2 linked regions of the Ovis aries genome follow. The protein of the gene in region 2 interacts with the protein of the main gene of each other region in a biochemical or structural test. Links are inferred from orthologs where the notes say so. Each region holds a gene or a part of one and is shown on either strand. Other genes may lie near its edges.

Region 1 (4,244 bases), on a different chromosome or scaffold from region 2:
GGGACTGTCTTCCTCCCTCCCTGAACACCCAGCAGAGAGCCATGGTGACCCTTCCTTCAAGGCCATCCTTCCTGGCTTCCTCAGATCACCTCTGGGGAAGCTGAGACCCAAGGGAAGAAGGCCCAGGCTTTGTTGAGTGGGCCAACCTCACAGAGCCCTCAGAGCCCAGGGAAATGGATGTCAACAACCCTGCCGAGGCTCACCTGAGGGTGGTCCCTGGCTTGGACTCAGGGACTTATGGAAGAACTGGCTCCTCCAGTCAGTGATGGACTAATGTGGCCTTTTTTTGCGCTGGTCCACTGAGCGAGGATGGTCCTGACCTGGCAGATGAAGAGTCCAGGATCCAAGCCAACTTCAAGGGGGGCAGCACCCGCACCACTCTCAGGCTCCACCCTAGGTCCTCTCCCATCTCACTCTCGCTAGCGTGGGCCTCCTTCTAGTGGCCTCAAGTTTTCCTCCTGGGGTCGGAGAGGGAGAGCCTCTCTCCCCAGTGGCTGGACCCTTGCCCCACGGAGGACCCCACGCAGGTTTGATGGACAGCGGCTGGGAAAAAAAAAAAAAAAACCACTCTACACCTGCTGCCGGAGGGCCGTGCCCCGCCCCTTGCGTGCGCATAGCTGCTTGCGCTGACCCTACTGTCGCGTCCACACGGGGACCCGCATAACGCTTGGCCCGTGTTTCTTGTAGCCCCCTTGCGACCTGGCAGAGGGCGCGCCAACTCGGAGCTGACGCGGGGTGGGGGTAGGGGGGCAAAGTGACAGAGTGTCATCGGTTCCGGTCCGGACACAAGAATTCTGTTTCCCACGTAGCCACTGCAGCCCGTCGGTGTTACCAAGGCGCCGCCGGACTCTGAAGAGGTGAAGGACTGGAGCCCGGCAGCGCAGAAACCCTCCGAGGGCTCCAGGCCGGGCTCGGAGCTTCCTGAGGGCCCTCACCCGCCTTCTTCCCACCGGGCGCGCCCCCGGCCGCCCACTGGCCGGGAGCCTGACCCTGTGGACTGCCCGCCAATGCGCGTGGCGAAGGCCGGGAGCGCGCGCCCCGAGCTCCAGGCCTGGACAAGGCAGGAGGCCCCGCCCCTAGCGCGCCCCGCCCCTCACCCGCGCGTGCGCAGCCCCGCCCCCACGCCGCTGACTGCCTGGTGACGTCAGGCCCGCCGCTCTCGGGCGCCCCCAGCGGCCGCTCGTAGCCGGATCCGGGGTCCCTTTAACGCGCGGCCCGAGGGGGCGGCGGCGGGGCGCACGGACGCGGCGGGCCTCGCGCCCTCCCTGCCTGCGTCCCGGGCCCGGGGCGCATGGGCGGCCGCGGGCGGCGGGGCAGCAGCCGGGGTGCGCGCGGAGTTGGGACCGGGGCCAGGGCCGGGGCTGAGGCCGGCAGGGCGGGCGGGGCCGGAGCGGTCGGGCGGGGACGCGGGGGCCTGGTCGCGGCCGGGCCGGGAGCGGCGCGCGGGCGGGGCGCGGGCCGGCAGCGGGGAGGCGCCCGCGTCCGAGACCCGGGCCGAGCCTGAGCGCCGCGCCATGGCGGAGACCAAGATCATCTATCACATGGACGAGGAGGAGACGCCGTACCTGGTCAAGCTGCCGGTGGCGCCCGAGCGCGTCACGCTGGCCGACTTCAAGAATGTGCTCAGCAACCGGCCCGTGCACGCCTACAAATTCTTCTTCAAGTCCATGGACCAGGACTTCGGGTCAGTGGGCCGTAGGGCCTGTGCGCGGGTGCGCGCGGTAGGCACCTGTCCGGCCAGGCAGGGCAGGGGATCCAGGGGCTGTGACCTGGGCGGTGTCTGCGCGCCCTGGTGCGTGTGTCTCACCTGTCTATGCTCCGAGCATGGGGCGCCTGGGCCCCTGACTGCCTGCTCCGGGATCTGAGAGCATTGGACGGTGGGCGGACCGCAGTCCTGGTTTCTCCTTTCACCCTGGGCCCTGTTCTGAGTGTGTGTGACTTGCGGTGGAGGTCCGTAGTCGAAGCGGACCTCCGAAATCCCATCTTGGCACCTGTCAGACTCAGGGTCCGCTGCCCCCCTTACGTGGAGGGCAGGTGGGATTCATGATGTTTGGGGTCAGAGGAGTTTCCAAGCGTTGGGGGGAAGGGGTTAGGGTGGGGACAGGTGCCAGCCACCCAGTGGGTCTCCTAGTTAGCACCAGGGAAATGAGGTGATCTGGGACAAGGGCGCAGATCTGTCTGCAGGGGTCTGCAGAAGTTTCTGGAGGTTTAAAACAGCATTCTTCTGGCCCCCTTCTCCAGGGTCCTCAGGACAGGGCAGGGACCAAGGGTCACTGGGCAACATGGGGCTTTATTCCACCCACCCCAGCCTCAGGGTTGCTGGCCACAGGGCCTGTGTCCCTGCTGAACTACATGCCACTTGGGTTCCTGAGAGCAGTGCAGGCCAGCTGCTAACTCGGGCAGCCTCTGGGTCAGAGTTCCCACGTCTGTCCTTAGTGGTGGCTGTCCCGGCTGAGGGGACTTCCTGCTTGTGCCGGGCTGGGCCTCTGGAACGGTGAGTGGTGAACTGGAAGCTGGCTGGACGCTCGAGCCCTGACCTAGCACAAACACGGGTAACCTGAGTCTCCCGCTCGGCAGTGCTGGGGGGGCACCCAGAGGCCGCCTGGGCTGAGCAGGTGTGCTTGGGCGCCCTTAGGCAGCCCATGCCCATGTCCTTGTCTGTGGCTGCGTCTTGGGACTTTGACATTGAGGCCATTTCCTGGATTCTGTGGTTTGCACTGGCCCTGGGCAGTCCCAGGTCAGGTTAAGCTGAGGCCACTTTGTGGCTCCCAGGGAGGCCTGAGGGACATGGGGGCAATTAGACTGTCTCATACCCTCAACACCAGGGAGAGGCAGAGAACGGGGAATGGGTCCTTGGCAGCCCCCAACCCTGCTGGGCTCAGGTTAGGAGCTGCCCCCAAGCCAGGCTTCACAGGGTAGGGCACAGACTGGGGAGCCTGGTCCTGGCCACTGGCTGCCCTCCACCCGCCTCAGCTGCTTGATCGCCTACAGTCTCACTTCTCTGAGCCTGCTCTGCTTTGGCTGTGAGCATCAGGTATGTGGAAGGGTGCTTTTGTTTTTTAACTTAGTTTATCATTTTAACAAAAATTACTGAAATCACACATGTTCTTTCACACACTGAAGGAAGTGTGTGACAAACTGAGTGCCCACCTCCCCCAGGTTGCTGCCCTTGGACCATGATCTGGGGTGCAGCCTAAGGGACCTGACCCTCCTCCTGTGTCTAATAGCCGCTGAGCTGCAGAGACCCCTGCTCCAGGTGCACTTTCAGCAGAGGCTGTACCTGCTAGAGGATTTTCAGACCCATGGGTGCCCTGGCCCAGGAGGTCAGGGTGGGCAGGCAAGATCTGGGTCTTGGAGCAAGAGTAGGAGTTCTTCAGGTTGTCTGAGCATGACTGGGATGTGAGGGAGGGAAGAAGACCAGCTGGTAGGCTGGGCTGGGACAGAGGGAGGGATTGGGGTGACTCTGGAAGGTGCAGTGGGCCTGGGCAGACAGAGCAGGGGTGGCTCATCTTATTCCCCTCCCCCACCCCCAGACCTGTGGTTGGTGGCCTGTTGCCCTCAGGGACCCTTGAAGGGGATCTGCCTCCTTCCTTCCCTCTCCTGAGATCTACCTACAGAGTTCCAGGTTCTGTTTATTCTGTAGAATCATTTACTCAGTGGAATAAATTTTCTCTGGGAGTGTCTGATTAGTCACCCACACTTTAGTATAAATGAGAGCTAGAGTCTCACGTTGGCTACCTAATGGTTATAGCTGGAGGTTGGAGAAAGGGGGGGCAGGTCCTGGCTGGGCTGGGGAAGTGGCCCCCTTATGAGAGGGGTGGCCTCAGATTGGGGACTGTGAGGTCCCTGACCCTTCTGAGGCCTCTGTTCCTAAAGTCTTACTCAGTTCTTGGCCTCTCTGGCCAGGAAGGGAAGCCTTCCTAAGTCTAAGGTGTGGCCATAGCCACTTGCTCTGGCCAGGCCCCACTCTCCATGAGCATCTTTGGCAAGTGGATAGAGAGTTCTGCACCTCCATCCCACTCTTCCCATGCAGGTCATAGCTGTGTGTCCCAGTGAAGCTGGGGAGGCTCTCAGAGCCTGTGCTGGGCTGACCCAGAGGTGCTAAGCGTTGGGGTTGGTGTGCAGCCATGCTCACAGGCTTCCACTGCCTTGCGGACTCCAGGCCTCCCTGGACTTGGCAGTGGCCCTGGGCCCTGCATCACTGGACCAGGAGCTCTGGTCTGTGGGGCCATCTGTCTGGGGGC
Region 2 (3,965 bases):
ATCTCAATCTTTTCCGACAGGCCCAAGGCGGCCCGTACCGCACATGATTAACATCACTGTTACCATCACCAGCATCATCCTGCAAGTCTTTGCCAGAAGTCTTTTCATCCAAACCGTATTTCCACCCAGGCCTCTTTTCCCAACCCACATATATCTACATATATCTTCTCATTTCCAGGTGACTTCTCACTGGAGCGGAAGGAGGTTCCAGAAACAAGTCCCCCCACCCCGCAGTTCTTTCCCTACCGCCCCTTTCCCACCCCCGGCGGCGGGAAGGAAGGGTGGGGGAGGGGCCGGGGTTCATACCGCAGTCTCCCCCTTGCTGCTGTGGCTGAGTCTGTGGTAGAAGCGGCGCCACGACTGCAGGGTCTTGCCCGACCAGATCCAGAAGCCAGTGGTGATGCCGACGATCATGGTCATCAGGTACTTGATCATGAAGACGGTAAAGTCGGGGCTCATGGGCGGGAAGTGGCCTGGCGGGCAGGGCACCGCGTAGCTCTTGCAAGTCTGCAGGAGCCAGGTGCGTTCCCAGTGTTCGCGGAAGGCCTGCTCATAGAAGTAGCAGGCCAGAACGATGGTGGCCGGCACCGTGTAGAGCACGCTGAAGACGCCGATGCGCACCATCAGCTTCTCCAGCTTCTCAGTCTTGGTGCCGTCGTGCTTCATGATGGTGCGGATGCGGAAGAGAGACACGAAGCCCGCCAGCAGGAAGGACGTGCCGATGAAGAGGTAGACGAACAGGGGCGCCAGCACGAAGCCCCGCAGCGCGTCCACGCTGGACAGGCCCACGTAGCACACCCCGCTGAGCAGGTCCCCGTCCACCTGGCCCATAGCCAGGATGGTGATGGTCTTGACAGCGGGCACCGCCCAGGCGGCCAGGTGGAAGTACTGCGAGTTGGCCTCGATGGCCTCGTGGCCCCACTTCATGCCGGCCGCCAGGAACCAAGTGAGCGACAAGATGACCCACCAGATGGAACTGGCCATGCCGAAGAAGTAGAGCACCATGAAGAGGATGGTGCAGCCCTCCTTCTTGGTGCCCTGCGCCACCGTGCGGTAGCCGTCGTCGGAGAAGCGCTCCACGCACACCGCGCGGTCCTCCAGCAGGAAGCCGGCCACGTGCGCCACGGCCACCATGAAGTAGCAGCCTGACAGGAAGATGATGGGCCGCTCCGGGTAGCTGAACCGCCGCATGTCCACTAGGTAGGTGAGCACGGTGAAGAGAGTCGAGGCGCAGCACAGCACAGACCACACGCCCACCCAGAGGCGGGCGAAGCGCCTCTCCTCCTCCTTAAAGTACATAAGGCCATTAGCGCGGCCCGGCTCGCAAGGGGCGCCGCAGTCGCGCTCGCCAAGGAAGCGGTAGCCCAGGTAGGGGGGCACCTTGAGCTGGCGGGGGCACGAGAAGGGGAAAGCGGAGCGGCCCCGGCCGTCGGCGGCCCCCGGAGGCAGCGCGGTGAAGGGCAGGTCGGGCAGGTAGGGTGCGGTAGGGTAGGCGGTGGGGCCGCCGCCCGCGCCCCCGGAGCCGTCCGACGTGTTTTGGCCCACGCAGATCTCGCCAGCGCCGTGCACGGGGAAGTTCTCGCAACGCAGCCGTTCAGGCCATTGGAAGCCGAACTTGTTCATGAGTGCTTCACAGCCCTGGCGGGCACGCTCGCAGAGAGAGCGGCACGGAGGGATGGCCTTGTCGAGCACCGTACACACGGGTGCGTACATGGAGCAGAGGAAGAACCGCAGCTCGGGAGAACACTGCACCTTCACCAGCGGGTAGAACTGGTGCACCTCGAGGCCCGCCTCCTCTTGGTTCGTGTGACCCAGCAGGTTGGGCAAGATGGTCTGGTTGTAGGCGATGTCCGTGCACAGAGGGATGGAGATGGGCTGGCAGAAGCCGTGGTCTGGCACTGAGATGCCCTTCTCTCCGTGGTACGGCTGCGCCCCGGCGCCCGCGGGCAGTGCGCCCAGCAGCGCCAGCGCCAGGGTGCAAAGGTCCAGAGGCAAGCGCGACACCGCCGCGCAGGAGCCCCGCATCGCCGGCCGCGGGTGCAGCGGCACTCTCAGCCCGAGAAACGCGACCAGGCAGCCGGGAGAGGCTGGGATCGGGGGAGGCGCCGCTGCGCCGGGCGCATGAGAGTCCTCCCGGCGCCGGGGCTGGGCCGTGGGCGGCGCGGAACAGAGGGCGCTGCAGCTGGGGTGCTCCCGCCACGGGGGCGCCGCCGCCTCCGCCCAGCACTGGCGCAGCCGCCGGGGGTCCAAACTCGTCTCGCTGGGCTGGGGGCGCAGATGGGGGGCCGCCTTCTCCTCTTGATGCGACGTAACGGTGCGGCTTTTTCTGCGGCGAGGAGCAACAAGCGTCTCCGGTTACCCTTCAAAGTTTGCCCAAGTCTCCCGACTCACTGAGCTCAATAGGGCGCGCGCCGCACCCCCACACTAAGTCTGGCCCCGGCAGGCGAGACCCCGGCGCCCCCGCTTGCTAGCCAAAGCCGCCGCCTCAACGGTGCTGCTCCGCCTCCTCTCCTCGAGGCTCCGCTCGCCGCCGCCTCCTCCTTCGCCTCCTTCTCCGCTCCTTGCTCCTTCTTCAGCCCCAGAAGCTTGGCTCCAACTTTCAGCCAAACGGCTAATTCTCGCTCTGAGTCCGATCGGCGTCTTGGAGCCAAGAGCTCGGCGAGTTCTTTTAAGAAATCCAGTCACACTGCGTCCGAGGCTGCGAGGTCCTGGTGCCCGCGGCCTGGGCCTGGCCTCTCCAGCCCCGCGCAACTCTGAGCGGTGAGGGAGCGCTGCCCGCCGGGAGGGAGCGCAGAGTAACGCCTCGGAGCCGCGCAACTCTACAGAAGAAGCGTCGGGCTCTCAGGGTTCCGGACCGCCCCGCCCCCTCCCCTCCCCCCATTCACAAACCACTCCGGGGGCGGGCCCTCGAGCTCCAGGGAGGCCCAATAGCAGCCTTTGTTTTCTGTGTGACTGTCTTCGGATTGGGTGGAAGTCGGAAGGGGCGGGCAAGGGAACGAGAGAGGCTAGGTCTGCGGAGCTCTGGGCGGATTCCTGAGGGGAGGGGCAGGGGGCTGGGAGGGAAAAGTTAAGAAAAACTTTTACCCTGAATTCACTGGGGGGAGGGGGTAGAGAAGCGCACCAGAAAGGGAATTTGCTTGAAATATTTGTTCCTTAGTGTTCCGGGTACACTAAAATACAGATTCCTGAACAGAAGGGCGCACCGGGCAAGGCTTTTGCATGGAGAGGTTGAGAATAAGAATAGCACCTCCCCGGAGAGAAACGCGACCCGGAGTTGTGTTTAGCACTCCTTGGGCTGAAAATGCTGGATTTGGAGGGGGGCTTTTAGGTGACAGGATCCTAAATGCGGGGTTCGGAATGGGGCAAGAAATGGGTGCGCCTCGCGGATTGCTTTTCTCTCGGCAGACTTAGACCACGTGAGGCCACAATCCCCGCTCACCCCCTCTCCGGGTTGTAAAAAGGAGGAGGGGCCCAGGCTGAAGAGAAATAGGAGTCGGGCAGAGGGGGCCGGCTTAAGGCAGGAGGAAGTGTCGACCCCTCCAAGGGGACAGGGCCGACGAGCGGCGGGCGCGGGGGACTCAGGCTTCAGGCCACCCTGCCCGCACGCACGGCCCAGAGTCTAGGGATTTGGTATAGCTTTAGTGAAATCGTAAGAAAACTAGTGCGGGAAATTATTGTAAAAAAAACCTGCGGCCGAGTGCCCAGAACACTGTACAGGTTTACAGCGAGTATTTAATTGCCTATTTTCTTTAGTTCCGTGGCGTGTGGCCCTTGGGAGTCCCACCTTCGTCGCGGAAGCAATGATTTGATTCTTGGAATCTGCGTAGAAAAGTTTTAATGCATATTAGAAACCAAAGGCATTTGCTAATTAAAGAGTTTCCAAAACACAAAGAGAAGTTATCCTTGTTCTCGGGTAGCGTTTTCTGATTGGCAAGCGTTCTTTTGTTCTCGATCAAATCTTCGCC

What was found. The genes of interacting proteins can lie anywhere in the genome.
Region 1: the proteins of FZD7 (region 2) and DVL1 form a complex in vitro, tested with the Homo sapiens proteins (2 studies listed by BioGRID and IntAct, with this or other methods). The link is inferred for Ovis aries from reciprocal best matches to the Homo sapiens genes FZD7 and DVL1.

The regions. Positions count from the first base shown.
Region 1 is NC_056065.1:50,499,219-50,503,462, forward strand, and holds the start of DVL1 (segment polarity protein dishevelled homolog DVL-1), read left to right. Parts: upstream 1-1,444; 5' UTR 1,445-1,514; coding exon 1,515-1,684; intron 1,685-4,244. UniProt on the Homo sapiens protein: Participates in Wnt signaling by binding to the cytoplasmic C-terminus of frizzled family members and transducing the Wnt signal to down-stream effectors. Plays a role both in canonical and non-canonical Wnt signaling.
Region 2 is NC_056055.1:204,349,340-204,353,304, reverse strand, and holds the start of FZD7 (frizzled-7), read right to left. Parts: upstream 2,801-3,965; 5' UTR 2,026-2,800; coding exon 301-2,025; 3' UTR 1-300. UniProt on the Homo sapiens protein: Receptor for Wnt proteins.